Caenorhabditis elegans: one gene and its partner. The protein of the gene in region 1 purifies or fractionates together with the protein of each later gene. This does not show direct contact. Each region holds a gene or a part of one and is shown on either strand. Other genes may lie near its edges.

Region 1 (16,857 bases):
AGAAGCCAGTTTCCGATTAAAACGAGATTCGTGTGATTATTAACAGAATCTGAAAATTGGTAAATTTTGGTCTCGGAGAAATTTTTTTCCATTCTTTTTAATGTGAATTTTCTGGAAAAAACTCGATATCGCAGAATTTCCTGAACCTTTTTCAAAATCAGTTATTATTTTTTTTGCGTGCATATTTCTTGAAAAATTGAAATTTGAAATTCACACCTATTTTTAAAATTTCTGAAAAATAGTTTTGGAAAGGGTAGAAATTTGGAATTTTCTATCTAAATTGTTTTTTTTTTAAACTATGTAGGGTGAAAAATTAGAATAAAGAAAACTCGGCCACCGATTTTTTTTTCGCGGCCATTTTGCTGTGGTTTTCAAAATCGCGAGATGTCGGTTGTTTGTCGGCAGAGCACACATTAAAATCAAATTTTGGAGATGAAGCTGGCCGGGAAAAGTCAAAAAGCTAGGTAATGCAAATTTTATGATAATTCCAATTTTAAAAAACTCGGCCACCGATATTTATTTAGTGGCCACATAGCATTTCAGCTGAACGTTTAAAATCAAAAAACTAGCTTACTGATTCCTTCTGAAGTATCCGAAAGTATTGGCTTGTCGTGTCCACAGAGAACCAAATGTGATGCTCGATTGCAGAGCTCCTTGAATTTGAGCACAGTCTGAAAGAATTTTTATTTCATCCGCACAAAAACTAGATCTAGGCCCACCAAATTCGAAAAGTTCGTGCAAATTTCCTCAAGAAGCCACGACGGGCACTCCATGTCTCCGAGAAAATGATATTTCTGAAATAAATATTTCGTTTAGAAAACATAAATCTGTAAAAGAATCTTACCATTTTATTAAAACTCGAAATTCAAATTCCAAAAAAAAAAAAACAACTTGAGAAGTTTGAGACGGAGAGAAAAAACCAAAAGAAGAAATGTCGACGCAGAGACGGAAAGATGCGGATGTTTCACGGTCGTAAGCAAGGTACAAATTTAGGTCTGGAAATATTCATTTTCAAACTATTTTTGAAAATTTTAGAAAGTTATAAGGAATAAGACATGTACATGAGGTTTTTTCTATTTCCTAGCTGCCAAGAAGGATATGGTGCATCGAAAAAAAATTATCTTAACTTTGCCTTCTCATATCTCAGTTGTATTTGATTTTACCAAAAAATTGTCAATTGAAAAACATTTAGTATTTCTTTTCCTGTTTTGTGTAAATTAAAATAATTTTATATCCCAAAAATTAACCAAGATATGGGCAGTCAAAGTGAATGATAGACATGGTGAATCGAGAAGAAACAGCTCACCAAAAGATTTATCAGATCCTATATTTTAAAGATTTTACCTTTTTTATAAACAGGACAAATACTACAAAACTGCTCAATATTTTTCAGAAAGATCAGATTTTCGTAAACTTGGCAATTTACCAAAAAATGTTAGAAATCTAAAAACTAGATGTTTTTTTTATTAACATAAGTATTTAAAATAAATCAAATTCAAAACAATTTTATAGAAAGACAGCTGACCTAATAGCCAGGGCATTGGAAAAAATCGATAAAACCTATTAAAACAACAATAATATAGACAGTCAATTCCATATGTCCATACCCCCTAGCCACCCTTCTTGAATGTCTGGGTTTCCTTCCTCCCCACTGTCTCTCGATGGCCGTGGCCTAGGTTTCCCATCTTTTCCCGTCAAACCAGTAGATACTCACGTACACCGCGCGAACTCTTTTTTCTTTAAATTTGAGGCCTAAAAAGTTGTTTATTTTTGTTGTTTTTTGCCGGATTTATTTATTTTATTTAATTTCAAAAATAGGCATTTAATTGTATTTTTAAAATTTGCTAGATTTTGAAATTCTCAGAGTGCGAAATGGGCAAAAAGAAAAACTCAAACAAGTCGGCTGCTGCTGCACCAGCAGTTAAGCATAACGACAGATGGTCCAGTATTGAGCTCGGTGAAGCTAAAAGTGCAGGTATTTTTATTTTGTCTTCGAAATTGCTTTTTAAAGACTATGACTTTCAAATTCTAGAAAACGGCAGACATTTTAGGAAATTTTCTGTCAAATATTCTACTGACTAACTTTGATTACTTATATCTCACTAACTTTTTATTTCATTGAAAAGCTGTCAACTGAAAAAGTTTTTATTGAATATTTTTCTACATTTCTGTAATTGAACATTGTTTGATATCTTAAAAATAGCCAAGATATGCGCTGTCAAAGTGAGGAATAGACATGGTGCATCGATAGAAAATGTTTTCTTCAATTTTTGACTCCCTAAATCTAATCGATGTTTTTTCATTGAAAATTTACATTGGCCATTGGATTAATTCTTTTTCATCAAGAAAATATACTTTTAGGTTAGTAAATGGTTGTGTATTTCACGTGGAAAACTGCAAAATTCAACTAAATATAAATATTTAGCCAAGAGTAGATTTTCGTCAAAAATTTCAGTTTCCATGTAAAAAAGTGTACGCTACTGTTAGTTAAATGGTGTACGTAACAAAAAAGTCAATTATTGATTAATGAAGTCTTTTTAGGAAATATAATTTTACAAAAAATTAAACTCCTAGTTTCCAGATTTTCTGGAAAAATCCCCAATTTTTTTTGAAAACATTCTGATCCAAAAAAAAAAGAGATATCTTTGGTCAGTCAAATTCAATTGACATTTTCAGCTGTTTCCCACTACAAAGAGCCCTCAAAAGAGCCGAAATTTGTGCATCCAGCCAAGCTGGAGAAAGTGAAAAGAATTCACGATGGATTGAATATCGATCGAGTTCTTTCACATGGGCCAGTTCCGAAACAAAATGGAGGAACCAAGAGAAAACATGTGGAGGTGACAACACAAAAGTTAGAGAACAAGAAGCCAAAAGTTGAGGTGAAAAAGGAAGATGAGAAGAGTAAGAATAAGAAGATGAAAAATCAGAATAAACGTGAGTTGTAAGAAATGCTTAGAATTTGAAACCGGGTATCGTTGGCAGAGAAAATCTCAATCGGCCAAGGTCGCCGCGTAGCCCTCAGTTTTAATTATGGCCGAATTTTAATTTTTCTAGGTCACGCAGTACAACGTGGAAGTAAAGACAAAAAAGCCATGGCTATATGTTTTAGGTCACCCTTAAAAATCAAATCCAGAAGATTTTAACCGGGTAAAAATGGCCATTTTATTGGAATTTTTGGATTGTTTTTTAGTTGATGTAAAAAAGTTGGCCGAGGTTTTCCATTTTTCTAGGCTACCAAATCAATTTTTTGAATGATTTTTGTTCAGGGACAGCAGCTAGCTGACATCGAAATCATCTCTGAGTTGCCGATTTCAGTTGCGAAGCGTCCCCTGACAAAAATGTTATTTTTTTTGGTTTTTCTAGTACAATTGTTGACTATTTTGTTGATTTTTTTTTTGTGACCCATGAAATTATCTATAAATTAACTCTGAAAAATATTTGTTATTTTCTTTAGTTTTTGATATGTTTAAAAAAAGTTTAAGAATTTCAAATTCTAATTAAATTTATATATTATGAGGTAAATTTTAAAAAAATTTCACCAAATTTGGATTTTTTGAATTACTTGAATAAATAATTAAAAATTTCTCCTATTTCAGAAAATTTCAATTAAAAATTTTCATTTTCATTTTGAAAAAATCGGTTGGAAATTGTGATTTTAATTTTACAAAAACATTAAAACTAATTTGAAAATGTTCAAAAACATTGCTCTTACATACGTTCAAAGTATTTGGCGGAAAATTCATAATTACTTTTTTTTTAAATTTTCTGACATTTTTTAAATTAGGATTTGGTATTCTGAAAATGTTCTAAAAATTAACCCAAATTTTCAAAAAAAAAATTTATTTTTTAAACTTTCTCTGAAAAATTAGATTTTTATAATTTTTCAGAAAAAGGCTTTAAAAATTCCGCGATAAATTCTAATTTTAATAATTTTTAAAATCATTTCGAGGACACCAGCAAACTGGTTTTTTTTTAAATTCCAAAAAACCTAGTGTCTAATTATTCTTAATTTTCAGACACAGCACTTGTCCAAAATGAGACTTCCACAAGATCCACATACTTTGTAGAAGAGCCTGATAATGAAAATAAGGTGACTCTGATCTCAAATGGACGGGAAATTGCGTTCAAGAAGACAGAAGTTGTGGAAAGTGACGATGAGCAAATGATTGGACTGGATAGTGATGAAGAGCTGGAAGATGAAGATGAAACTGATATTGATGAAGATGAAATGATGATTGATCCGAAGGATATTGAGAGATATATTAATTTTGAATCAGTGGAGGATGAGGAAGACATGGAGGATGAGGAGATTGAGGATGAAGAGTTTGAAGATGAAGAGTTTGAGGACGAGGAGGAAGAAGCTGATGAGCAAGAAGAAGAAGAAGAAGATGTCTCTGACGAAGAATCTGTTGTCTCAGAAATGGATGCAGACTCTGATGACGAGGGATTCATTGCTGGAAAGGATCGTGAAGCCCATGTGATTTCCAAGGACAAGTTCACCCGTAACGCCCCAGCCGTGGACTTTGACAAGTTCCCCTTTACCGATGAAGACTCCGTGGTCACTTCTTCTCGAGCATTTGGATTTATGATTTCGCCGTGTGATGTTCAGACTTTCTTTGAGTAAGTTTTTCTAGTTTTGAGTGAAACTGAAAAATGAATAATTATCAGCAAATTCTACCAATCGAATGTTCTTGTGGTGCGTCGCAAGCAGCCGACATACTTTGGCAACCTTTTCTCAACTGCCCGACTCGGCGAGCTTCTCGAGAAGAACCATTTGGAGTATGGACGGAATATCAATATTGCACAGTACAAAAATGGGGTTAGAACTACGTTGAATGGACAAGGACGTGCCTACCCGCAAATTGTTAAGCAGCACCTTCATGTGGGTTTTTTTTCTGAAAATCAGAAACTTAAACAATAACACAGCACTAGCGATCCCTACAGTACCCCTCTAGTACCAAAAGCACATCCTACTTCATACAGTACCAGCCCCCCATTGCACTAATAGCAAACCCTACAGTACCCCTCTTGTACCCCTCTTGTACCAAGAACACATGCTACTTTATACAGTACCTCTACATTACGACTAGCGAACCCTACCGCACCCCTACCGTACCACGAACATATCCTATTTCATACAGTACCACCCCCCCCCCCATTGCACTAATAGCGACCCCTACAGTACCCCTGTTGTACCAAGATCACATGCTACTTTAAACAGTACCTCTACAGTACCACTAACGTACCCTACAGTACCTCTTCCGCACCAATATCGTATCCCTTGTTAGTAATACTATCAATACTTTTTCAAATTCAGAACATGTGCTCTGTTCAACTCGTCAACCCCCAAACCTACGATGATCGTATCTGGTACCTGTGTGAAGTGATTCAGGAGCAATTTGGATGCTTTGTTGGTGCAAATACCTATCTTACACCAGCAGGAAGCTCTGGTTTTGCCCCACATTGGGATGAGATCGACGCGTTTCTTCTTCAAGTTGAGGGACGGAAATATTGGAGAGTCTGGGCTCCAGAATCAGCTGAAGAGGAGCTTCCACTTGAGTCTAGTGACAACTTCACGGAAGACGATATGAAAGGACGAGAGCCAGTTTTCGAGGGATGGATTGAGAAGGGAGATATGATTTATATTCCAAGAGGCTACATTCATCAAGCAAGAACCGATTCGAAAGTTCATTCTCTTCATGTGACAGTTTCTACGGGAAGACAATGGAGTTTTGCCAACTTGATGGAGAAAGTAGTGCCCGAAGCAATTGGAGTACTCACTGACACACGTCACAAGTTGCGACGTGGATTGCCAACTGGATTGTTTGATATGGGAGGAGTTATTGATTTGGACTATTCACAAGAGGATCATTTTGTCGAGAAGTTCAAGATGGTTGTTGACAGGCATATGAGCATGTTGAGAAACTTGGTGGCAGATCAGCTTTTGGAAAGTTCGGTGGATAGTCTGGCGAAAGAGTTTATGAAGCAAGCATTGCCACCGAGGTTGACTGAACGTAAGTTATGAACTTCTATCAAAAATTGTTTTATTCGTACATAATGTCTGGGCCACGGAAATACATCATACCTTACGCGCAAGTTTAATTTTTGGCCAAACCGCCTTCATTCGAGTACGTGTTCATATAGGATAGGCCTGAGCTGTGCGAGATATCGCACTCTTTGCCCTTCCGCCATGAGTCATGCCGGAAGGGCAAAGAGTGCGATATCTCGCACATGAGAGGCTAGGCGTACGCGTAAAACATAGTGCATCGATCCCGCCAATCAGGTGACATCACAGCTCGGTTCCTTTGCTTTCTCGTAATAACCATAAAGGTGTCAGCGATTTTTGCACGTTATGATGCATTGACCCTACAGGCCGCCAAACGATACGACCATGAAAGTGTGCTCTACTGTTCAATGGTGATTTCCAGTAGATAAAAATTTTCCGTAGATAATTTTTCATGTGCATCATACTTAAAAATTCTAGCCGTTTTTGGGATAAATTAAATTTAAAATTGCGACTACTGTAGAAATTAGTGTATATGCTCCCCGTGACAAGAAAAAGTTGCGCGTAAGATACGATGCACTCATCTACCTGGTTCCGTCATAACTCGGATCGTGAGATTTCATCGAGACCCCCTCCCTCGAAACCCTAATTCAGCAAAAACAATAATACTGACTTTATCATTTTCTAGAGGAGAAGAAGCTCAGCGTCCTTGGCTCATCAACAAATCTTCTTGGAGATGACCTCGTCGATTTCACTGCTCGAACCAAAGTTCGTTTGATTCGAAGACACACTCAACGACTGCTGATGGAGAGTGAAGATGCCTGCTTCATTAGTCATCGAATCAACAATTCTCGACTTTTCGAAGGACGTCCAGAGCAGATTGTTGAATATCCGATTAGTGGAATTGATGCGTATAGGGTCCTGTCAAATTCTTATCCTGAATGGAGAACTCTGTATGAGATCTTCTCGTTGAGAGAGACGAAGACGAAGAGCAGAAAAGAGAACTTGGCAGCCATCCAACTTTTGTTCCAGATTGGGGTTCTTTTGGTTAAGAATTGAATTTTTAAAGAATTATTTATTTGAAAAACTTGCGTAAAGTAGGTTTTCTTTACTGTTTCTTTGTTTTTTTCTTGTTACCATCTTTTATGCCTACTCTTCGTGCCTACCAGGCGTGGGAGGCAGGCTTGTCAAATGTTTTTCATGTTATATTACTTTCTTTCTTGTTATCATTATTATTTGTGAATGAAATTTTTTTTTAATTTCCCAATCTAACCAAATATTTATTACAACTATACATCTAAACATTTTTTTTCAAAAAGAGATCAAGACGCTTGGCATATGTGAGACCTTTTGGAGAGAAAAGTGTGTGTGAAAAGTGAATCAAAAATATGTGAATGCTGGGGGAAGTTATTGCGTTTTTGGATTATTGTATTGCAAATCTGAAAAATGGGGCTTTAAAGGCACATAATGACGCTCTATCTAAATGTAGATCTTGCTGAAGCATGTGCCTTTAAAGTTCCGGAATGGGTTATGTCTTAAAAATAGTATACGGAAAGCATGACTGAACGAGAAGACGAGTATCACAGCCGGTTGGCGGTGGTTGAGGTACCATATCACTGTCGGAATCCGAGGTCGGGAGCACCGGCGACTGAGCGAAAGCTACTTTGGATTGTACGAGAGGAGGGGTTCTGAAATATAAGTTTTCTGGCCTAAAGTCTGATTTGGAGGTTTATACCTGAATTGGACGAAGTGGCTTCATTGGGACCTTATCAGAGAATTCTTCGTCGTAGCGTCCGGCACGGACCTCGCGGAGCTTGTCGAGCTGGAAACAATCAAAATAAGAAGTTTCCCAGTCTCATTGACTAACCTGATGAGAACTAATCGGAAGAGCCGCTCGGATGACAATCCAGTTGACAGTCTCTCGGAATGGATCAGTTGTCTCCGATCCTTCGTACATCCAAAATTCCTTCGTCTTCTCGGCAACCGGGAAGAATGTTTGGAAGTCGAATGAGCAGAGTTTGCATTCACTTCCTTTGTAGATCACTTGTGGTAGAAGATTGATCAACGGACTGAACACTGCGTTGTCGTCGTGGGATTCCTGGAATTTTAGAGGTCTTACGTCACAACTTTCTCATTCAAACTTACATTCAGAAAAACAGCGATCGCAATAACCCCATTGGGTTGTTTGAGAGCATCGGCCATTGTGGCGAATCGCGTATTCCGATGAATAAGATGCATTTCTCCTGCGTACCCAACCCCACCAATTGTGTGCTCGGATCCGTTCATCGGCTCAGTTGCCCAATGAAAATTTACAGCGTCCAGATGATATTGCTCTTCTGGGAGGAATGAAATAGCCAGCTCACTGCTGTTACCCTCACGCATCAGCCAAATCGAATTGCCATCGTTTACTGCTTTGAATTCACCGGTCGATTCGTAGGTTACTCTGGAATTTTGAAACTTTTATTTTTTGAAAAAAACATTCCGCTTAAATATCAAAAGCTTCAAAATCAATGTTTCTAAAAATAACGAGGGCACACACACAAAGTAGAAAAGCAATAAATTTGGCGAATTTGCCGCACACCCCTGTTTTAGATCTCTCCTTACTCAAAGTGTGCATTCTGAAGATGCTCGCCAAACGCAGTGATAACCGGAACGATATCAATCGGCGACTGAGTCCTTCCCAACGATGGCACATTGAGCACCTTGCCCAATGAATCCAGCTTCACCTTGTTCAATCCAGTTTTAAAGGCACTCTCCATGAACTTTGGAGCCTCTTTCAATTGATTCAACGAGTCAGCGATTGATGGAGCCGCCGCTTCGGCTTTTTGCTTGAGTTGGGCAAACCCACCCTGTAGTTGACTAAGGAATGCCATGGTTGGTGGGAGGTGGAGATGAAGATGGTTATTACTGGAAAAAATTGAGATTAGGGTTTAAAAATAAATGGAAAATGATTGATGTAAAATAAGATTTTTCAGAATTTTGAAAAAATTTCAGAGAATAAGATGTCTTAAAAATAACTTTTTAAATTAACAGCGACCGAAGCGACCTTATGAAGCCTGCTTGTTTCTAAATCAAAAAATTATTTTCAGAGTTAACGGAGCAATAATTGGTAGCTTGTTTTGCGAGCTCAAAAGCAAAAAATGTTGACAGATCTAAGCTCAAGGAAATTGAGCTATTATGAGAAAAGGAGCAATGAATCGAGCATATAGGATATTTATAGGGGGGAAATTGAGAGCTCATTGAAAGGGAAACTATATTACTTTTCTCACATATGTTAGATGAATATTTTTTGTCTCGACGAAAAAAAGCCTATGAAAAGTGACGTACGAAAAACCAAAAAGTCATGCCGAGCCATAGTTAATGAGCGAAGAATTTTTTACAGAATTTAGGAAAGCGCGCGGTTATGCGTGAAAAACTTGCTGATTTTTGTTTTTGGGCGTCAAAATCTTAATTTTAGATTTTAGAGTTACTTGATTAGCGTCTTCCTGCCTTGAACGTGCCTACTTTCAAAAAAAATATATTAAAATCAGGATGAGCACATGGAATAGATTTTAGCGTTGACTAAAATGCACAAAAATAAGCGGTAGGCAGGCAAGAGGTGCGCAGCAGTGAAACATGGTGCATTGTGTCTGCACACTTTCGTCTAGCCTACGTCCGTAAAACACCGTATTTTACATACACTTCTAGAGTTATCAGAAGTGAACAAGTATATTCGGTAGCACGTCAAACAGGGTGCACTGTCTTGGTGTCAGCAAACTTTTTTATGAGCTCACTTTTTTGATGCACCATATCTTACGATTAAGTTTGTTTTTGGCAAAAGTGGGTATATGCTCTACGGAGCATAACCTGGCTTTAAAAAATATTTGGTGCAAAAAATCGAACTTTAAAAATTTTTTCAGTACGCGCCAAACATAGTGCATCAATTTGGTTTTTTGCACTATTCCTCTAACCCCCCGTCGGAGATGCACCATATCTTACGCGCAGGTTTCTCCGAATTTTTAGTAAATCACGCGCTTCAATCCCCGTTATTAAACCAACCCTGTGATTCGGCTCGAAATTCTTTCGTACAACCGTCTGTTATTCGCGTTTTGAAATCAGAAGACAGCTACAAAAAGAGAAAAGGGAAAACAGAGAATTTGAATCAGTGGAGGGAAGAAGTCAGCCAATGACGGGCGGCGCATAGTGAATTGAAAAAGAAGGAAATAAATGGAAGAAGCAAAAGGGAAAAAACATAGAGAAACGGCTAAATAAGACTATAAAGTGACGTGGCTGACGCTTTGAAATTGAAATTGAAAACATCGAAGCGACTGAAGTGAGGGGAAGAAAACAAGGGGTTTTTGGTTTTGCAGAACTAAATTTGTAAAAAAATAATGGCGGGAAATAGGTGTTCAGATTCTAAAAAAAACACTCTACAAGTGAAAATAGTGAAGCAGCCGACATCTAACGGCTCTACGATAGCCCAATAGGGCGAGGCCCGTGAGATGTCGGGCGTTGATGCCCACCGTACTCTTTGCTTATGGTGGCTGTTGGAGGTATTAAAAAGCCGTTAACTCCAAATTTTCGAAAAAAAAAAATTTCAAAGAAATTCCAAAATTTATTTCAAATAATTAGAACTTGACAAAAAGTTGTTTTTTGCATTTTTGTTGGAAAAGTACACTAAAAATAAAGCAGCCGACATCTAAAGGTTTTACACAAGCCCAAGGCGCGGTCGTGAGATGTCGGCCGCTGTCGCTGACCAACTTTGACAGCGCATATCTCTGTGGATTTAAAAGTTATCTAAAAAGTAAAACTACGAATTTGTGTGAAAATTTATTTTCTATATTTTTTCAATTAGTGTATGTTTTGTAGAGTTAAAACAGCAAAGATTTAGGGCCTCGAAGTTAGTGGAGAAATTTTAAAAAAATCAAATAACAGGAAGCCTAGGGAAATTCTAAAATTCCGAAAAGTTTTCTGCTCGACCAAGCAGTAGACAGCTTCCGGTTTAAGAACCGGACGCCGCCATAAAAAAAAACCAAAAACCTGCCGAAAATGAAAAAAAAAGTGGAAAAAGTTGAAAGTATCAACAGAGTCTCCTCCTCCTGCTCAAAAAAGTCGATAGAGTCGCGCGCCTTCTCTCGAGTAGAGGGTAGGAAGACCACTGGCTGCTCGAGCTGCTCGGCTGCACACATTCTTCGATGTAGGGAATGTGGGGGGGGGGGGGGGGGCCGCCGCAATGCTTTCGATAATTCTTCTAGATTTTCTTCTTTTCTTCTCTCCCTTTTACATAAATACATGCTGCACATACACTTGCAATTATTCTGAATGGGTGGTGGGGAGAAAAAAGCGACGAAAAATGAAAGGAATCTTTTGAAGAAGATCAGGAGGTGTCGAGAATTTGATACCCGTGAAGCTCTAGGAGAATGAGAATCCGGAAGATAATGGGGATCAGTTTGCAGAAAAAGTGTGCTCCGAGGGTTGTAGCTCGATTTGATTGAGGAGAAAAATCAGTGGCTGAGGTTTCTAGTAGAAAAGTCTATAAGTTTAGTTTTGAAAAATGTTCCACTTGGACGGTTTAGTGTATATACTATCTAAAAATCTCAGAAATATAGACAGCTTTAGTTGAAAGTGTCACTAATTTAATAGGCGATCAAATCGAGATTTTTGTGGGTCCTGCCACGATATTGAAGTCATTCTTCATAACGGTTTACAAAAACTCGGCCACATCATGAAATTAAATAGTGAAATTTTGAATGGGCTCGTAGGAACAACAAAACCCCAATTCAAGGCCATTTTCGGCAAGATTCATGAGAGAAAAATCGATTTTTTTTTAATCTCAAATAAATCGTGGCCGAGGTTTTGCTTTTTCTAGGCCACGTAGCAATAAAACGGTTGCTCGAATTTGACGGAAATAGACTTTTTTTAAAATTAAACAGAAAATAAAATAGAAATATAATTTTCTCACTAGTAAAACCTCACTAGAGTTTGAGCCAATTTTTCAAAAATTTCAAAAACCCTAAAAAGTCAAGTACCCAGACATGTCATGTTTCAATTCAAAATTGAAAAAAAATGCGGCATTTCAAAACTATACAAGACTAAAAGAAATACTCGCATTTTGTGCCCTGAGGGGAAACAAAACAAAACAAAAAACACATAGGGCTCATAAATTGTTGATGAGAAGGAGGAAAGAATGAGAAATACTTATTTCAAAATGTCAAGAAAAAGAGTGTTCGTAAAGCTTTTTTTTGCACATTTTGAGGGAACGAAAAAAATTAAATTATGAAATCTGTGTCGTCGTTAAAAAAAAAATTTTTTGACCGCAGTCTGAGCCTAATCCTAAGTCTAATCCCAAGCCTAAACCTAAGCTTAAGCCTAAGCCTTAGCCTGATCCTAAGCCTAGTCCTGAGCCTATGCTCAAGCCTAATCGTAAGCCTAGGCAAAGATCACCTTGAAGGCAGGCAGCGTGCCTACAGCAGGCACTACATTTCCTATAACTTTTCTAAAAAGTTCAAGTGTTTATCGGTCTCTTCGATGTTTCAAACCTCCAAGGAATTGGAGAAAAAGAATATATATATGGGATAAAATAAATGGGAAAAGAGATTTTTCGTGGCGTCGTTTTTTGGAAAACGAGAGAAATGGAAGCATTTCTTCGTGGCGGAAAGGAAGGGATGCACCCCAGAAATTCAATCACTTTTTCGCCCCGCGCTTCTCGGGGTCTCTTTTTTCAACTTGGTCTTTCACTTTTTCACATTTTGAAAATTAAATGGCAGAAGCAAAAACAAACAAACAAACAAGAATTAGTTTTAAAAATGTTTTATTAAAGGTGCGTAGTTCAAAATTGAAATGGCAAGAGATGAGGTAAGTGGAAAAGGAAATATACAATAGAACAAGTTACCCGCATGTTCAGAAACATATGGAGACTATTTACAGACAATTATGAGCTTTTGAGCACCGGAAATATATAATTAGAGGGGCTTGCGCATCAGTTATGGTGTATACAAATGCAGGTGAGAAGTGAGAAGTTATGGCAAATTTGGGCAAATTTTAAATGTTGAGCTTGCGCGTCAAATGTGATGCATTGAGACCGAGGTTGTTATTCACTGAAGCCTAACAACTTCCAGAATTTGCAAAAAAAACATTTTACTTGAGTTGGACCCAAATGTTTTCCAAAATAGTGGAAGTTTTTAAGGAATAATTTTCAGTTTTCCCTTATAAATTTGCCATAAATTTCCAAATCTCACACAGCTAACTTCTCATCAACAAAAAAAAACTATCTAAAATCAAACTTGAGGATTAAAAGCATGCAATGTGGGTCCACCCTTTACAGTGGATATATGTGCTTTTTGACTTCGTTTCTTTCGTCTACAGTAACAACAGTACGCGACACACAGGGTCACATTTAGGCCGACACAAATTGCAGCGACTCCGATTGCGACAGCCAGGACCCAGAAGGGTGTTAGTGCCGCCCGGATTTCTGGGATGTACGAGGATTTTGTTGTTGATGGGGTTGGTGGCGTTGTTGTTTCGTTCTGGAAATATTGGAAATTTTAAATTTTTTTTGGAAGCTGAGCAGCATGGGCAACATATTTTTGTAGTGAGATTGTCTTGATAACTTCATAAAAATACTGAGAGTAAAAGAGTAAAAGTTTTGTAAATGTCCACTGCACGTTTTCAGTTGTTAATGCAGCCGACATTTCACGAGTGGATTTCTTTTGAAAGCATATTTTTTACTTCTATTACTATAGAAAATTTCCTGTTGCAGAATTATAGAAGACAGAACTTTGATTAATTTTACAGTTGAAACTGTTTTTCTAGAACTAATAGCAACCGAGATAGAATCCATTAAGGTTGTGGTGGTGGCAACGGCCGACACCTTACAGGCCGCTCCGACAATGGCCTACCCGGGAGATGTCGGCTGCTTCGAAGTGCACATGATTTTCTATATATATTCTGTATATTAAAAAAATAAAGCAGCCGACGTTTCGCAGGAGACTTTTACATAAGCTATGTCGGCTGCGTTTTTGGAATCATCAACTTTGACCACTTATATCTCGGTTTTCATAACAGTAATCAAAATTTTGTAAACTACAAAATTGTTAAGCATGTTTTAATAAATACTTTGTCAGTTGATAGTTTTTTAATATATCTTGGAATAAGAATTTTCTATCAGAAATTTGGCTAAAGCTTCTATTTCAGTAATTTTCACTGAAGAATCTTTTTTCCTACAGACTTCCCTTTCTACCTTTAGAGCAGGATATTAGCTACGTTCAATTAAGCACCTTCTCCATTCACCCGTATATCTGTTATTGTATCCCTCTTTTAAATCTATCCTTCCGCCACTAATATATAATCCCCAAAATGATTACTACCTCCTCTCGTAAAATAAGTAGTAATAAAACCTACCCCGGGGAGAAATGGAAGGGGAGGTAACTAATATGTAATACCCCCCCCCCCCCCCCCTCTCCCAGTTCTCATTACATGAGAGCCGTCGAAGCAAATGCACACGACCCCCCCCCCCCCCTTGAATAATTCACGTGTGAAATGGCTACGTAGTTTTGAAAGAAGCGGAAAAAATAAATTGATGAAAATAGAATAAAAAAGACTTACCCTAATACGGTGAATAAGTACTGAAAGAACGCCTGATGAATGTTGAGTTGAAGGACCATTGAATTGACATTCGGGCTCACAGGATACCAGGAGACAGTTGGAATCGTCGAAATCTGTGGAGGTTATTCCTTCGAATGTTACTCCGTCGCAATCTGGAATTCAAGATTTTGATTATTGAATATGAGTAATCGTTGAGTCACTAAGGAAGGGTCAGAATGCACCACCGGGCTTTTGAACAAGGCATATTTCACTTGAAAGCTCGTGTTGAAAAACTCTTAAAAATTAAATTTAAGCTGCGCGACTGAGCTTGAAACAAGGCTCCAGATTTACTCAGAGCAGCATGAGTGGCGCACTATCGGTACTCTGGGGATTAGAAGTAGCAGGTAGAACTTGTGTTTTTTTTGTAAAAGATTTTTAAGATTAACTGTCCTAGTAGCCGTTTTGCAAAAGAATGTTTGCGCACACATGGTGCATCGACTGACAGTAGGCAGGCACGTAGGTTTGAATGTAGGTAACGTTTAATTGGTAGATTATTAAAAGTTTTAAGGATTTTTTTTTGTCGAAAGGCTGAGACTATTTCTAGCAGTTTTGCGGGAATAAACATATTTTTAAGTGTCAAATAATAATTTTTTGATTGTTTTGCAAAATTGAAAACTTTTTTTTTAATTTCAGAAATTTGGAAATCATGTCAAAAAAAGTCCAGTTTTTTTCCAGTGGTTTTATTTTCAAAAAATTACAAATTTATCCAAAAAAAAATTCTAGATTTTTCCAGTACGTTTCAAAAATAACACATATTTTTTTACCAGTTTCTCGAATTTTCACAAAAATGGTTCTGTAGATTAGATTCTTCATAGTTTCAGACCTTTCCCGAAAATTCTCAAGTTTTTTAAAAGTTACCAAAAGTTTTTGAAATTTTTCAGGAGTTTCTAGAATTTTTCTAAATGTCTCTGAAACTTCCAGTAGTTTCTCGAATTTGTTTAAAACTTTTTGAAGTTTTTTTAAATTCTTCAACGGTTTCTCAAAATGTTCACAAATTCCCAGATATTTTGCGAATACCCGAAAATTTTCCGAAAATGTTTCAAGAACCTTTCACCAGCCGTTTTGAAGAAAAAAAAACTTTCACAAAAGTCAAGGATAGAAAATTGCCAACAGGCGCTGCTTCTCGGGCTGTGCACTAGAAAAAATGTGATATTTTTCCAGAACGAACTAAAAATGCTCTCCCTTCCCCTGTATCCATCATCTCTTCCTACTAGAAAAACACATTCATTCTATTTATATTTACCCGTCTTCTTATTTCACTCTTCTCGTCTCAATGCATCGCGCTTCAATCTCCATAGAAACGGAAATAAAAGGACAACTACCCCCCTCCTCTCCCAGCTACTCTTCTATTATTTCCGTCCCGAAAGGGAACAGCTTCTTGTTTTGAATGCTCAAATGCTCAAATTCAGGATTGGTAGCTGCTTTCAAATAGGCGCGAGAGAATCGGTTTAGCCGACGATAAAACAAACGATTGTATGACACGCGGATTAACCGCGACACTGTCTCCGTGCTCGCGGAGCACACACACACACATACGGAGGAGAAGCTGCTGAGCATTTCCCGCGCACGGAACGATTCGACTGGTAGTTCGAATTGGGCAAACAACTCGAGGAAGGCTCGCTTTTGCTGATACATTTATGTTTTCGAGTATCCCTTCCCGAAACATGGGAACATGGATTATACTTTAAACCGGATAGTTTCGGTTTTTTTTTGTTTGGCCGTGGATTATTGAAAAGAGGAAAAATAGATATATACTTTCGGAGTGGCTAAGAAAAAATATGACGTCAGAAAAATGTTCTGAAAAATTACAGGGAGACTCATGGAATACACTATATCTTACGCGCAAATTTTCTCGCTCAGCACGTGGTGTCAGAGTGTCCCATTTCGGTGTGATCTAAGCAGATTTACGAGAATTGCGGGAATTTCTGGATTTTAGACGCAAACTTCTCAACTGATTTCGCATGGTTAAAAACGTGCTGACGTAACGTTTTTTGGGAGAAAAATTCCCGCATTTTTTCTAGATCAAACCGTAATGGGTCAGCCTGACACCACGTGGCTCAGGTATGATAACGGGAATATACAAAAAATAGTATGTATTTCAATTTCAAATATTTTAAAATTATCGGAGATCTCAAATTTTATTGGTACGCCACGTAGGCGAGCACCTCAACCTAAAACCTGCTCAGCTACAAAATTTTGTAATCTATTTTCTGAAATTAAAATCTATGGAC
Region 2 (16,782 bases), on another chromosome or scaffold:
TGCCAAAGAACATAATTATTTGAAGATCATCGAAACACCCGATCACTTCTATAACTTCTGAGAATACAAAATATTGAAATGGAATGAATAAAATTTGAAACAACTTTGATTATTCAGCTACCCAACAGCAATCGAACTCATTTCATCTGGAAAACTAAATTTGTCGGGGCTAACACGTGCTCACTATAAACTTGAAGAAACACAAGAAGCATTCAAAAGAACACAGAAGGCTGATGTCATCAAAGTATTTATTCAATGCTGATAATACGAAATTATTATGTAATTATCTTTATTCACAATGTCCTACTAATGGTTTAAAACTGGAATAAATGATTTAAAGAGAATATTTAGGACATATTAAAATGCCGAGAGGAAACATGATGTCAAAGCCAGTGGGAAATATTGATTTGGAAGTTATAAAGTTGGAGATTGTGTCATTCGAGTTGAAAACATATACCAAAAAAAGTAAAGCAATCAAATTTTGTCTTCAGAGAATGTGTTCAAAGTGAAGAGAAGGAGTTCATAGTTTCAAAAAGAAAGTTGGGCTGGGAGAAAAAGTCAGTCAATGGCGGCTCGAATGGCTGAAGCAGGGATGAATCGAAGGGTGGAACAAACAAATTATTGGCTTCAATATTTTGGTTGTGATTGAAGAGCATTTCATCCAAATAGTCCAATGGTTCATTTTTAACTTGAATTTGTTGTGTGTTGGCAGGATTCATGTGATGCGCTGGTGGCACAAACAGTTGATTGTTTGACCAATTGGACTGGGATTGCAAAGTGGCAAGGTTTGAAGAATTCCCAAGTGGCGGGGGAAGGGTGAGCAAGTAATCAGTTGAGAAGTTGTAAAGTTCTTGAGCATGATGCTTGTAGTCCATTTGTTGAAGGTAGGAAGGACCGAATACCGTTCTCTGCTCCGGGTATGTTGCCTGCAGCATTGGCTGTGGAGCAGGTGGAACAGGAACATGCCAGGAAACAGTATTGTGTGTACTAAGCTGAAATCATTCAAATAGTTAAAACAAATTGTCCAAGAATGCTTCATTTGAAAACTCACATTCATATTCCAATCTCCATATTGCCTGTTATCAATCGGCATAGAATTCAAACCAACTTTTGGATGTTCCAATGGGGATTCAACTGGTGCCTCTTTCTTTATCGTCTTCCTGATAGGAATTGGTGAAAATGTATTAATATCCGTTTTGAACGATTTGTCTTGGCACAGTTTCGTATGGAAAAGGTCAACGTTTTTGGAGAAGTCCGAAGTTGCCCAAACGGAAGTTCTGACACAGTTCACCTCAACGGTTCTACGGAACAGACAACCATTATCCTTCCCAATACGTTCCGGGAACTTTTCTTCGAACAACTGGCGTATAGCTCTGAAATTGAGATCGTAAACGTATTCCAGTATTTTACAATTTGTCTAAATAGTACCATTTCTTTATTCTACAACACCCTTGAATTACCCTTACGGTGTCACTACAATATCCAAATGATATTCGTTATAGTGCGCCTTTCTTTATTCTCAAAAAACAGAATTTTTAAAGTACTCGACACCGTACCACCACAGTGACAAGGTACTATAAATTTGACTGCACAGATTATAAATTGTCATGAGAGTGTTTCATGTACGATAGTGAAAGTAAACTCATTTCTAATCTTGATCAACGTTTATCCCACTTACTTGAGAACTATTCTAGTTTCCTGTTGAACCAATTTTTGTGGTAGCAAGAGCATTTTCAATTTGACAATGAAGTCCTTTTTCTCTTTGTGCAATTCATTTTGGTACCTGAAAACACGAAATTTAGAACTTGAAATCAAATTCAAATAAGCCTTCCAATTGATATTGAAAAAGACTTACTTGCAACGAGCTGCATGTTTCTCATCGATAGTTTTCAGATGGGAATCCATTCTAAACGAGTTATAAAATAATGAATGAATGTTCTCAATAGACTCTCGAGTCGACATGAATTTCTAAACCACGCCCACAGTTTGACCGGGTACCGTACCACCTCGGCCATATGTGATGTCTACATGTGTTGAAATTGAATGATTTCATTGGAATAAGATGCAGATATTTACAAGAAAATAGAAAAAACATATGTGAGATCTATAGTAAAACAAATCATAACTAGTAGCTGATGTTATAGCTAGAAAAGATCCAGCACTGGAATTTGAATTTCAGAGTTGAGTCGGATGATGGTAAGTGGTACGATTCTCATATCGGTGACTGGATTCAATGGAGATCCTTCAATTGGCGTTTCAAGTATATCAATTATAACTTGTTCAGTTCGTGGAGGCATTTCAATTCTTCTCGAAGGTTTTCCTTTTTTAGGTGGCTTGTAACGAGTCTTTGTAGATTTTTGATTTTCAATTCCCACCTTCTTGATTTGTTTCTGAAATTCCATTCAAAACACAATTGGCACGATTTATGGTTCATGTCTGATAACTAAAAAACTGAAAATGACAATCAAGCCAATTCACATAAGTAACTAATTGTAGTCGAGCTAACCTCTTTCTGTCGTGTCACTTTTTGAGCATCTTCCTGTCTTTTGTCCCGCTCATATTTTTGAGCCGATGGCTTCAACGAAACAGACACCATACGAAACCACCGTTTCTCCGGACGACGAAAGAGAACAATGTACGTTCTTATTGTTTGTGCGGTACGAACACGTGGAATTTTAAACACATTTCTTGTAGTTGGTAGGGTGTCACGAAAAGGCAACTTTTTGGTTTTTTCTATTAAATTATTTCAATTAATTTACTTTATTTTTCATATTTTAATGATAAATATTTTTTAAAAACCTCTACGAGTTTTCTGTTCTAATCCTCGTTTATACTGTAAACTTTTGAAAATGGCTTTATAAAGTATAGGTTTCTATTTTAAATCTGAAAAAATCTTATGAAAATACATTCCGCCCTTCTTCTTCAATAATCGAAAATAATACATTTATGTCAGACAAGAACTGGCAGTGTTTCTTTTTATTTTAAGTACAAGTAGTGTTTACTGTATAATTTAATCGAATGCTCCCATTTTTTATGAATCAAAAGTTCAGGATCTCAGAGTCTTCATTATTTGATTTTAATGGAATCTTATTTCTTCTATTCATGCTCACTCCATACTTGCCTATTTCATCAAGATAATTAATTTGTTTTGAATTCATCTTAGGATCTGATGTTTAATTAATTGTAAGAACAAAGATCATTAGTTTATTCAAGCAATACATTTTTTTTAAATAGAAACCATTATTTAAAACTATCATTTAAAACGAACTTTAAGATAATGTTTCTTACCAGAATTATATTTGTTTTTAATTGAAACTCATATTTTTCAGTTCACCTAGCGATTTTTATTTCAGACAAAAGTGATTCAACTGTAACTGAAAACATTTTTTCTAACTTGACGTAATACTTGTTTTTATGTTTTACTGTGACTAAGTTAAATACGCTTCTGTGATTTCTTAAAACTTTAATGAACAATCTACTATTTTCGACATTAAAAATTTAGTCACTTTTTTCGACAAATATTTTTTTATCAGTATATCAAGTTTTTTTAATGTTTAACTCGTGCTAAAATAATTGCACATCTCTTGTCCACTTTTCCCATTTTCCTTTAACCTTAAAAACATGCAAACGCAATCTTTTTTCTTAGCTCTCTTTGCCTCTTCAATCAAAATACCCCCTAAGAGGTTGATCGTCTCAGAATCTCTTTGTTCCCACCGCCCACTGCGGCCCAAAAAGAAACAAAACAACGACTGCTGGATGAATCAGTCGGCTTCTTTCTCTCGATGCCCCACGCAAAACAAAATACTCAAAGTTTTTTTTTCGCACATGTTGTGCGTTGATGATGTTGGGGGAATGAGTGTGACGAAATTGAAAAACTAAAAGCAGAAGTAGTTGATTGCAATATGAGGATTAAAGGTCGGAGGACATGTAAATGAGATTTCTTGTTTGATCAAGCAAACAGACATTGGTGCAAGCGTGGAAGCCACGTGGTTTGCTTTGAAGATATGCAGTTTGACTAAAACGAAACCACTGTGCTCTTTGAGAATAAAGAGATATCGAATTTCGGGAGATTCCCATGCACAGAAATTTGTCGAAACGTCAGACTCTGCCATTCGTCAGTCTGAACAAATCATGTCAATTGTTTGTAGTTTTATTTTGTCCAAATCTTGTGATGGTCTTATATAAAATCTAAAATAAAATCTGAACATAAAGACTGCAACAAAAAACAAGATATTTTCTATGGTTCAGTTTTAAAGAAAACGAGATACTTCAGAAATAGTGAAATACTCTTCCGCGTCTATTTTAAATTTGAGAACTTTCTACTCGGCGGGGGGAAATTTCAACAATAGAGCACAAAAGATTGCTTTTTATTCGAACTTTTTCAAGGGAATGCTGTCAAGCCCACATGTATTTCTGTCTAATGTCAATCTTTATCGTCAATTCAAACATCTCCTATCAACCGTATTATTGAGACTTTTCACAAACGAAAACTTTAATTCTTATGTATTTTTAGTGCAGATAAAAATTGAATTGGTTTTGAATAATTTAGTTTTTTAGGGGGTACAAGACTGGAAGGTGCGCAAAGGCGGGCGTGAGTTGCGCGAAACTAAAAAGCCGGAAATTAATTTTTGTTTGCCTGATTTAGATATTCTGATTGCTAATTTCGAACTTTTCACTTTTTGTAGATTTTCGCACATTTTCGATTTATATGCATCCGAAAGTTATCAAGTTTGGTTATCAAAAGACGGAGATCTGCCTAAATCAACAAAAAATCCGGCAATGAGTTTACACAATTACATCAAATTTAGAATTTTTTGAGAAGGTTTATTACAGGTAAAGTGGGAACATTGAAAAGCTGCTCAATTCCTGCTGAAAAAAAGCAAACGGTCTTTAATCCGATTGACCTCCAGCTCGAAATTAATTTTGTTCAAAATCTTACGTTTTGTTTGTTTTATGTTTAACGCAAGTTTCACGCAAGAAACAATCAACTTACCGTTAGAAGCCACTAAAACTCTTTTTCTCAGAAAAAACTGAATTTTCGTCAGCTGTTTGCCTGCAAATCGACCGTTCAGCCGTTTTATGCGATCCCAACAGCCATCTGCGACTTTTCAGCAGCTATTGGGCATATTTTGAGGAATCCCATTTTTGTTGTAATCACGACACGCGATTCGCTGCTTTTGGGAAATTTTGAAAATTCGTGAAAATAATTTTGTAACGTAACGACATTGTAGCTCAAATCTTCTTTCGATATATATATATATATATATATCGTATATACTTTGGAGCCATTTTTAGCCGTCATCGATCCTCTCATTCCGTATGCGTTTCCTTCAGATATAGTTTCGTCTATCAAAGAAAGTACCGGTGAGATGTACTGAGACTTCGAAGTTGGTTTGACTTAAATTAACAGATATTAAATTAAAACAAGTGTCCATTCTCTGTTTTCGCCATAACAAATCTCAGGACTCAAACTTTTTCTTGGATTAAACTTTAGCTAGATTTAGAGTTTATATGAATGTGAAGCTTAGAGTTTATGACAACCTAATGCGCCGTTTTACTTAAATTCGCGAACGTTTTTTTGATGCTCTGCTAGCAAATTTTACAAGTTACCAGAAGTCGTCTACATATCACTAATTCAATTGTCCATAGAACACTTGAAATTCAGCTTACTCGCATAATAATCCTGCATATTTCGATCTCTCTGCACTTCCGCTTTTTGCATTCCGCTCTACTTGCTTCCACTTCATTCTTATGACACTTTTCGAAGCGAAGGCGGGAACTTTGTGCAAATGTTTTTGAATTATCTTGATTTTGCTCGATGGCCACACCTTTTAATTTTTCTAGTTTCAATAAAATATAAGTTTTATGACTCCAGTTTTCATCATCTGTCCCTTATTTAACAACATTTTCGTCTTATTTTCCATTTTTCCCACACTCACGTGTCCTTCGATGCCCGCCACATTTCCCACCTATTTAGTAATCCGAGATATTCGTCATTACATACTCATTACTTGTTCTATATTTTCATCTCTAAAATATTTCTAATTTCAGATTAAACAGAGTATGAAAGAAGTAGACATACTTGCCTTCATCAATGTTGCCTATCCAATTTTTGCAATCAGTGTTCTCTTCTCACAAGCTTTGTTACTTCTGCTCATATTCAAAAATCAAACAAAACTTTTACGAACAATGCGAATTTATCTTTTAAATATATGTGCCGCCCAAGTTGTAACTATAATTTCGGGATTTCTAACGCAATGTCGAATGATTCCAAATCAAACAACAGTGGCATTTGTATGTACAGGTGTATGCATCAGAGTTGGAAGACGTTCGTGTTTTCTACTGCATTTATTAAGAGATGTGAGTTGAATTTTATTGAATTTTTAAGTGAAAACTCAGAAAACATGTAAGAGCATTTGCGAAATATTTCTGTTCCAAAGAAATTGAGATACAACAACGAAAGCCAAAATGACCAAATATAAATATTAAAAATTTTAACTATTTGCCCAATTAAAATCAGTTAATTGTATTTTTTATTAACGTTTATTTTTATGGAAAAATATTTTTTAATTTCTGGAAAAATTCTCATAAAATATGAACTACACTATTCTTGAAATAGGCTCAAATTTCAGTTTGACATTCAATCATATTTCTTGTCTACAGCCACATCCTAACAGAGATCATTTCTTAATATTTTCAGGCATCTTCAATGGTTGCACTTTTTGCAATTGTTCATGTATTCTACTATCGGTATAAAATCTTATCCCATCAAAAACTTTCATCAGTCCAAATAATGAGAAACTTCATAATTGTGCATCTACCTGCTATATTCTGTGCAATCTGTCAATTTATAAATCCATCTCAGCACAATGCAATTGTTTTGGAAACTCGTGCTCTGCATCCGTCGTATATTTTTGAGCAAAACTCAATTTTTGGGTTTTCAGCGTTGACGTCTCCTGCAGTCAAAGCATCTACTATTATTTTCACAATTGTTTTAGTATTAAACCCACTAGCTGCAATTATCTATCGCAAGTGAGTTTATTATTCTAAAAAGGTTTATGAAATATCCTTTCAGCAAGATATGGGGACTTTTAAATGAATACGAAGAATACAAATCTCCACGAATCAAACATGCGAAGAGTATGATCACGGGATTGACAATTCAAACTTTAATTCCAAGTATTTGTTTTGTACCATTGGTCGTACAATTCTTTCTCACACAATATTCGGGTAAACGAGTCAACAATTATTTTTAAAATGCGATTTTCATGTTCAGAAGCTGGTGTGTTAATACTCGAGTACTTCAATTCATTTCTGGTAATTCTCCCAACTTTGATAGATCCAATTCTATCAATTGTATTTGTAATACCTTTCAGGCGGTAAGATTTTGTATTTAAAAACAATGAGTTCCAATTTTTAAATAAATATTATACTACTGTAACTTGCTTGTATTTTCTTTGAAAATTGGAGAATATTCTTAATAAACTTGACAACTTGAGCACATTTTTTCTAACTTTAATAATTTCAGAATGTTCTTCAAATATCTTCTCGCAGTTCGCCAATGCAGGTTCAGCTTATCAAAATTATCAGACAATGACATAATGTCTAAAGGAAATGGGTATTCTGCAGTTCGGGCGGTATCAAGAAAAACGTGATAAAATATTTATTTAAATCATTAATCTTTTTTGTATTTTGATTCAATATGACCAAAACAACTGTAATAATAAAATCCTCCAAAGAGTTTGAAAAATGGGAAAATTATGAAATAAAAAGCAACAAAGAAACATGGAACAATGATATCTAAATTGTAATACTTGATGATACTGAGATCTCTTCCTTCAGTCAGCAATTCATGAACTCCTCCATTCTGAATAACCCACTCAGTTGTTTTTATAAATCGGTCTCTTGCTCCCATGGGTTTGTTTCTCATCAAGTCACGTACTCGATGTGCTTGTTTCGTATAACTTGGATTTGTGAGCATTTCTCTTATAGCTTCCTCAATGGCGTTTGGCTCCGTGAGGAATTGTTTTTTGTCTCTTCTAATTCCCCATCCTTTTTTCTCGATTGCTCGACTGTTTAGATTCTGATCAAACATAAATGGAATCGTAATTAATGGAACACCGGCAAGAGCTGCTTCCATAAGACCATTGTAACCAGCATGTGTAATAAAAGTACGAAGGCGGGGATGATCTGAATGTATTTGATTATCAGACTTTTAATGTAGTTTGATTTTTCCAGCCCACAAGATTTCAACGGATTAAATTTTTTGTATGGATTTTTGGAAGATTCATACAAACACAATAATACAAATAATACTTCAGAAATTTTTTTATACTAAAAAATTCTGAATGAAGATACAATCAGAAAGTACTTTGGCTGCTTGTACTGGTGTAAATGTGACCGAGAACTCACGTAAAATTGCTGGTTGCGGCAACCAATCAGAAACAAAGACATTCGAAATTTCCGTTGCCTTGTCTTTTGTGTTCTTATCATTTTTGTCTGCTCTGATCAGAAAATGATAATCAGGAAACTTTTTAACAATTTCCAAAAACGATTCCATAACTTTTTTATCAATTGTTGAAGTGTTGGCAATGGTTCCAAGTGAAAAGTAAATGACTCCTTTATCTCCTTTTTTCATTTCAGCTTCAAAAACTGGGCCCATTTCTGTAGTGTCATCATCAACTCCGAGTCCACCGACGTGAACAAGATTTGGTAATGTTGGAGATGAAAAATCAATGATTTCATCTGTTGCCAGAAAAATGATGTCGACATTTCGTACAATCTCAGTAATCGCAGGGAAGTCGTCTCTTAAAATAATCTATCATCTGATCAGAAATTACAAATCCAACAGAAAATTCACTGACCCGAATTTCTTCCGGAATATTGACGTCAGTCTATTATGAGAAAAATAGAAAAATGTATTAATGGTAATTCCTCGCAAAAGATTATTTGTACGTTCCAGATAAGTTGGCTCAGGACTCATATCCGAAATGAACGGTACACTGGCATAGGGAGCAGGATGACTGGTGTAATCATAAACATGGGAAAAGAATGGACAACTAGATATTAAAAATTTTCTTTGAATTCCTAATGCTTTTGCATATCCGAAACCACAGATATTCAGTTGTTCAGCGAAGAAAGCATCAAAGTTTTCATCTTTCAATTTGTTGAACATAACTTCATTTTCAAGAAATTCTGGAAAAAAGTTGGCATTAAAACTTATCGGAACTACAATGGTTTTTGATGTTATTGTGTATTGTGTATTAGAACTGATAATCAAAAGTGAATGAACAAGCTATGAAAGGTTTTTTAAAATTAGCATTTTTGCTTGATTACGTTGAAAACACAAAAGCGAAATTTGAAATTTGAAATTTCGCTTAAAATCATATTCGCGGGAGTTTGAAATTCTCGAAGCCATTGTTTCTAAGTCTCCAATAAAACGTAACAACAAGAAATTAAATACCTTCACATAAATCATTGTATACTGTCTGATATGCAATATTTCCTTTCAATAATTCAAACAATCCTTCATCTTCCATCACTCCTTCTGAGAAGCTTTGAATTACATTTTTGAATCCTTGCATTTTCTTTGGTACTCTGACAATTGTTTTTTTCACGAGTTTTGCACTTTTTGTAGAGTCCACAATTCCCAGAAAGTCAATTTCTAGTAGAGTCTGAATTTGAGAAATGCATTTTTCTGATTTGATTCGAATATTTTGGATTTTTTGATAGAATTCATTATTTTTCAAAAAGATCACTTACTACATTATGCCCAGCTTTTGCCAATTCATCAGCAATCCTACCATTTGATATTAAATGTGATTTGCTAGTTGCGGGGGAAAATACTAAAATTTTGTATGCTAAACCATACTCAAAGAAGTACAGTATAGCAAGTAATAGTATTGAATGATAGCGAAACATTAGAAATACAATAAAATGATTATTTACTGATTAACTGGTCAATTATAAATGAGGAACGAGAGTGAAGAGAGTTAGAATAATAAACAAATGCCATTCAAGTTTTTTAAGCGTATCGTTTTAACGAAAGAACTGCGTACATGTCACAGGAACCCAAAACGTATCTTGTAGTTTGTTATTTTCATATCTGCAGCAATGATCACTTATGCAATGTACACGTTTTTTTTTTGAAAATTCAACCTATATCCTTTATCAAAAATTTTAGGTGGTACATTTATAAATATTACAATTTTGAAAATCATTCAAAAAATCAATTTTTAAATTTTTTATCATGATACCTGTACTATTCCATAAATTAATTCATGTATGCTGGTAACAATCAAACTGAGAATCATCAGAACATGTGTAGATTTTGGAAATATTGCTCTTTTACATAATTGTTTCAATGCCTTCAAAGTGACTTTTAATGTGGTTGTCTGTTTTATGCAAACATGAATCTTACCATAGCGGTTAAAATCCACGTGACAATTGTAAAAACATTATTCATGTAAGCATTGGACCGATACAAAAATGATATTTTACTTTTCATTTGAATGTCGTTGGCACATTGAGAAACAATAGACAAATTCATTTTTGGTTCAAAAGTTGTAAAAATTTCTTAAAGATTAGTGAATTATTGATATTACGGAATCTCTATGAATATGATAACAATTAACACTATATCAGAACTTTTCAGAGCATAAAAATAAAAATTAAATTCCAATAAAAACGAACACAGACAAAAATATCTAAACATCCCATTATATTTCACTAAACAGATTCTTTTTTTTTCTTTAAACAAGTGTTAAGGGAAACGAGTACTCGAAGATTAGTTATTTCTTTATACATTATTCAATCAGATGAAAAAAAAACAACTTTAGCTAACATTCTAGTCGAAATTCAATTGTTCGTTGACATATCTTTGACGTATCCATTTGAAAAATTGAAAACATCCAGAATTTCAAAGTATCTGGTCAACGCATATTTTCATAACCGCAATATAATTTATTTAAAATATTTGACAAAAATCCCCGGAGAATCTTAAACTTAAGATCGTCCACGAGACGTTCTGGTTTCAAGGAGATAATAGACCAAGTCCTACTCAAAATTAAATATCGTGAATAAAACCCTTAAATTGAAAGAAAGTGCACTGTATCTCATTGTTAAATCAAAGAAAGGGATATGAAAATATGAAAATTACAAAACGCCAAAGAAGTGTTTTCAAGAAAATTTTTTATTATTTCCCCAGAAAAATGAACGCTTCGTTCCATTTTATTGAAAATTCCAGTAAGTTTTATGATAAAAAAAGAGTTTTTAACGGAATAAACTGAAGGTTTGAAAAAATCAAATAGACATATGTTTGAGAAAAAACACAGAAAAAGGATCAGAAGAAGATGGAAAAGTAAGTGCCTAATTAGTTTTCATTCTCTGTGTTTATCGTCAATAACAGTGATTCATTACCAAAGAGACCTCTAACTCTGATTGCAGCTTTTTCATGTATTAACGTCAAACAATGTTTTTAGGATAATTATCATTATTGAAGAAACATGAACAAATTTATTAATTTGTGAATAATGCGGTTTGCGAGAATAAAAAAAAACTATGATTTCTTAATAAAACATTTTTCCATTAGCATTCTCCCTCATTTTATTTGTATGGAAATGCCCGAGGTCTTTGCTAATCCATATTGAATCAATTACATCTCCATTCTTATCTATTGATATTTGCTCAAAATGAATATGAGTTGTATTAGCGACTGTCATTACAGTATATCCATAATCATCACTTCTATGAGCACTCCATGGCATTGGAATTGGACTGAACTTCATACCAGAAGAATGACAACCTGCCGATCCAGTGAGAAAATAGACTGGAGCAACTGGATTGTGATATGCTTCTGATCCTTTATAGTATTTCATATCGGCTACTGGCCACATTCTTTCATAAGCATGCATATGGCCAGCAAACCCAATGTCTACTGAGTTTTTGATGTATTCTTGCTCAAGTCCCGGAATTCCAAATGCTCCGTGACGAAGCTGTGAAATTTTTATTTTGTTTAAACTACGTTTTGTTGAAAACTTCAACAAATTCACTTGAAATACACTGATAATACTCTGTGATCGAGGGCAATCAAATCATCTCATTGTAGACGTAAGACGTCGTAAATTGGATTTTTAAAACAAAATTTGACAGATCGCGTGTGAGTAATTGATGTCAGTTTTCTACTTTTCCTATGAATAAACTTACAACAACATTTTCATAAAGAGTACAGTCATCACCATCTTCCACACTACAATAAAACGGTCGATGTTGATACATTACAATCCATGGTACACTTTCTCTATTCTTGTTGGCTTCATTCAAATTTTTTGTGAGCCAATCAAATTGGGTGAAAATCGAAGCGTTTCCATATTGTTCCTCAAATCCATAATACTCTGTGCTTAATCCAACCGAATGAACTGGTCCAATATCAATACTAAATTAAATATTCTAATTTTAAAACTTGCTAACTTGGTGTACCTGTAAAACTGATTATCATCTGATCCAGTTGGTGGCATCACAAATCTATTTTTGAAATTTGTGAAGTTTGCGTTGTCATTTTCGTGATTTCCAGCAATCACCATATAAGGAATCTAAAAATGTTTAATTTTGCGATGAAATCATCTGAACTCGTACTTTCGATATAACTGGTTCCAATAAATTCATATATTGATCTCCTAACTTTCCGTTATTACTATGCAAGTCGTAAGCCAAGTCTCCGATATGTACAATAAAGCCAAATTTTCCAGCAATTCCATTATGTATAATACTTTGAGTAGATCTCCCGTTGTATACACCAAGATCACCGAATACACAAACTTTGTATGATGTTAAATCGGTCGGTAGTGTACGAAAATTAAACTTTCGGCTATCAATCTGATAATCTGAATAGAATATTTTTTCTCTAGAAAATGTAGTAAACAGGGAAACAATTGCGGGATAAAATATGTTTTGCCCGCACTATATGTAAAAATTGTATAGCCAAAATTTTTGGAAAAATCTGAGCAATTTCAGTGATAGTTTATCACAGAATAAAGACTTCACTCACAATATTGAGTTGATGGATTGAGGTTTTTTAAAATTACAACGTGGGAGTGGCGAGTTATACCACCAAATATCCAAGTATTTGTAGTTCCTGTCACATTTAACATAGATTTAGATGAAGTTCCATATGTCAACGATGGTTCAGCTGTATCAATTTATATTGAAGAGATCAACGCAAGAAGTAAAACCTACCATTTTCAAATGTTATCCAGCTAACTGAAATGTCCCAAGGACTGGTATAAAAGGCAAGATGAACTTGTTCTGGTAGTGTTAAAACGTGCCTAGTAAAAAATAAGACAAATAAAATTACTGTATTCATGTTGGAGATACACGGAAGTAATCCGAGCATTCATTTTATAGTTAGTGTCTTATCTTTTGTTAAGGAAACGGTATGTGTGTGATCTGTTGGCGAAAAATAAGTTGCAGACCAGTGAATTTGAGAATTGCTCGCATATTTGGACATGATTAGTTGTGTATGACGCGTTGAAGTTTGCAAGAGAAGCTGATGCGGGAGGAGAAGAAGAGACAGTTTTTGGTCGTAAGACCAAAATGTTATATTTGTATTCAAAATTAGCAGATGACATGTGCGTGATTGATGAGGTTTGCTCCTTTCTTAAATATTGAAAATAGATTATTGTGTTTGAACAGAGGAGTTGGAAAATTTGAAATGATGTTAATAGCAACTCGTTGATGTGATAACAGCTTGAAGTTACCAAAACTGTAGATCTCGTAATTTTCAAACTTCAGTAAGTATTTGAAAAATAGGATAAACACTTTCTCATTGCTCCTGTGGACGGTGAGTCGGATCTTTGAAGCCTTTTTAAAATTTTAGGATTTTTTATTGTGAGAACGAAGAAGCTATTTATAATTGATAAAATTTGATAAAATATTGATAAAGTAAAAAATGTTTATTAGAATTAATTTTCGAACATTATTCGTTTTTAACTTTTTTGCTGAAAATAGTTGAACAAATTTTAATACATTGAAACACATATAAAACGATAAAAACGACAACAGTGATGATTAAAAAACAAACAACAACCAAAATATCATACGAATAGAATTGAAATACATTCAATTTTCTTCCTTCTGACTGTAAAGTGTCCAATACCCCAAATTTTACTGCAAAGTCACAATGCTTTAGGACAACTTCGGCTGGAGTATATGGTTGATCCTCCAAAATCTGTGCTAGTTTTCTGGCGTTTTCTGTATAGCTATCATTATCTAAAATAGTTTTAATTGCGTCACGAATCATTTGTGGATTATCAAGATTTGTCTTGTCTAGTTGTATAGCTCCGCCGTGACGCGTTAGCATGTGAGCGTTTCTCGGCTGATCAGCCATCAATGGGATCTTGAAAATGTTCTATAAAATTATAAAATTAGTAAAAAAAACGAAACTTACAACAACTGCAGGCGTTCCTTGATAAGCAAGTTCAATAGAACTTCCCAAACCTCCATGAGTTACAAACAGGCTCAGTCGATTGTCAGCTAAACTCCATTTTTTTGTTAATATTGTTTGGAATTTCGTGATACTTTTTTCCGTTAAAAGTGACCCCTCGGTTAAGTATGTAATAACTCTTCAAATAAAGAGGCTTAAAACTATGTTTTTTTTAAAAGAAATTCGTGTATTTTTTGTTAGTCTGGTGTGTAGGTATGCATTTTTGTGCCTATAGGCCATAGTTTTTCTTACATCTAACTGACCCAATTTAACTATGACTTTTGGCGTTTACTCAACTTTTCAAATGACGAAAGGCTTTTTTTTACACGACTTTATCCTTAAAAATAATATGATCCTACCTAATAAATCACTTTGAGGCATCCAAGTAGTCATTTTCACATTTGAAAGATGCATTGCAATTGTTGAATTTTCTTGTTCATATTTCCAAATAAATGTTATTTCTGGCATTGATGCAAATACATCGAGAAATGATTTTTTAAATTCATCTGGCATTTCTGATGAAAATGCATTTGATCCGAAAGAAACAAGAACATTTTCCTTCCGAATATTTAATAAATCATCCCATTCTTTGTTTAACTTTGGTGTTCCTTGCTTCTTTGTTTTCACTTGCATTCCTCCAATAAAAACTGTTTTTGGAAGAGTGGGACTTGCATAATCCAAATATCTGTTTGAATTAACCATATTGAATGCCACATTTTCCAAGAGTTCTTCCCATGTTTTTGATCCATTGTAATACGGTTCTATCATACTTAATTCTTCTTCAAATCGCATTTTTGAAAAATATACAGGAATCAACATCTGTATTGCATTTTTTATTCTTTCAACCAGAGTCATCTTATCAGTCATTGGTGAGATGAGAGCTTCAAATGATGTAATGATTAAAGTATCATAAACTGAACAATGCTCAAACCTGGGTAAAAAGTTGAAGATGATGGTTCACCAAGAGTGCATTTAACTATGTCCATGAATAATACTGAATCTGCATTTATGATAGTTTTGACACCGAGGTGATCAAATAATGCTGAAATAATAGAAATATTCCGTATTTCATTACTCAAAAACGAGCAGAAAAAATCACTAAAACAATATTCGAAAGTAAATAAAATATTTTCTTTAAAGAGTTTGTTTGTAAAATACAGACAAACTATTAAATAAAAATTAAAAAACGCACGATATCCACAGATAAATAATGACTCGGTGATTCCCAATTCAAAATGCTCATTCTTCAATTTTTCGAGAATTTCTGTCTGCTGAAACACATCTGAAATGCTTCTGTAATGAACCAAAATCTCGTATTATTATTATTTTTTTACGTTGACATTGATAACCACAGGTTTTACTGAAATTCCCAGCCATTTTAAAAAACAACGCAATATCAGATTCAACTTTCCAAATTTTCTTTCTCAAAACATCTTCAGCTCCGGTTTGCTTATACAATTCAATACTTCGTGGATCTTGATCAATTCGAATAATATTTTTCACTTTTTTTGATCCAACTAAATGTTTTTTTCCTTGCATCGCTATAGGAATAAGCATTGTCTGAATTTTGGGGATTTGTGGAAATTTGATGTTTTTAGTGAACTAACCACATCATGGCCCGCATCAATGAGAATATCAGAGATTTTTCCGAGAAAATTAGAATGACTAGCCCCAAAAGCGGGGTTGAATACCAAAACTTTGTAAGAATTTGAATAATCAATTATTGAAAATAGAATAAAAATAATATAATATTGAAAGTTCATTGTTCAAACTTCCAAATAACAATTCAAAGTTTTTATCTTTTTTTAAATAATTTTCCTGCCAGCTTGATGTGGTCAGCGCATGGTTTCTGTTTGATAAGACACCAAAAAACCTAATGTTTTCACGTACTCTGTTATAAAGTGGAAACTCATGTGTACAAGTCAGAAATGTATAGTTTAAAAATATTAAATCTCTGTGACAGGGTTAATTTGAAGCGATTGTGTTTTTTTTTTGAATTATAGAAAAAATATTTATTAGTCCTGCGTCAACACTTGTTTACCCGCGACGGCCAGAGTTAAAATTACTCAAGTGCATTGAAGAAAAAGAGAAACTGTTCTAATCATCGATGAGTTTTTTTCTTGTTGGACTACTGAAAAAAATTAGTTAGCAAAGATTATGAATAATCGATACTTTGAAATTTTATTCGGTATGTTTTGATTAGAAATATCGCTTGTTGAATAACACAATAAAAAGATCCGAGCGTATGTTTAGTAATGTTTTATTATTTTTATCAATTGATCCTGAATCAAATATTGTTTTAA

What was found.
Region 2: the proteins of jmjc-1 (region 1) and R04B5.7 fractionate together in Caenorhabditis elegans (co-fractionation; one large-scale study listed by BioGRID). This does not show direct contact.

Annotation. Positions count from the first base shown.
Region 1 is NC_003279.8:3,621,491-3,638,347, reverse strand, and holds jmjc-1 (Bifunctional lysine-specific demethylase and histidyl-hydroxylase NO66), read left to right. Parts: upstream 1-1,864; 5' UTR 1,865-1,872; coding exon 1,873-1,975; intron 1,976-2,676; coding exon 2,677-2,934; intron 2,935-3,266; coding exon of another isoform or gene 3,267-3,283; exon of another isoform or gene 3,284-3,590; intron 3,591-4,016; coding exon 4,017-4,620; intron 4,621-4,668; coding exon 4,669-4,882; intron 4,883-5,317; coding exon 5,318-6,014; intron 6,015-6,692; coding exon 6,693-7,063; 3' UTR 7,064-7,257; downstream 7,258-16,857. Other genes in the region: T28F2.2 (Protein LAZ1), read right to left, coding at 1-49, 575-671, 720-794, 845-847; cah-6 (Carbonic anhydrase), read right to left, coding at 7,618-7,692, 7,740-7,826, 7,872-8,102, 8,150-8,447, 8,609-8,877; Y47G6A.32 (MANSC domain-containing protein), read right to left, coding at 13,261-13,509, 14,588-14,739. UniProt on the Caenorhabditis elegans protein: Oxygenase that can act as both a histone lysine demethylase and a ribosomal histidine hydroxylase. Specifically demethylates 'Lys-4' (H3K4me) and 'Lys-36' (H3K36me) of histone H3, thereby playing a central role in histone code.
Region 2 is NC_003283.11:10,088,657-10,105,438, forward strand, and holds R04B5.7 (BHLH domain-containing protein), read right to left. Parts: upstream 1,906-16,782; coding exon 1,856-1,905; intron 1,784-1,855; coding exon 1,679-1,783; intron 1,374-1,678; coding exon 1,052-1,373; intron 993-1,051; coding exon 501-992; downstream 1-500. Other genes in the region: R04B5.5 (Sorbitol dehydrogenase), read left to right, coding at 118-262; R04B5.11 (Transposase), read right to left, coding at 2,270-2,443, 2,507-2,596; srd-49 (G-protein coupled receptors family 1 profile domain-containing protein), read left to right, coding at 6,064-6,360, 6,701-7,032, 7,076-7,230, 7,277-7,379, 7,529-7,655; Putative UDP-glucuronosyltransferase ugt-47, read right to left, coding at 7,676-8,190, 8,413-8,807, 8,865-9,195, 9,464-9,674, 9,763-9,921; C08B6.14 (Purple acid phosphatase), read right to left, coding at 11,568-11,993, 12,205-12,433, 12,478-12,590, 12,634-12,881, 13,046-13,186, 13,234-13,360; ugt-17 (glucuronosyltransferase), read right to left, coding at 13,973-14,404, 14,444-14,529, 14,839-15,360, 15,411-15,521, 15,672-15,761, 15,814-16,039, 16,087-16,242.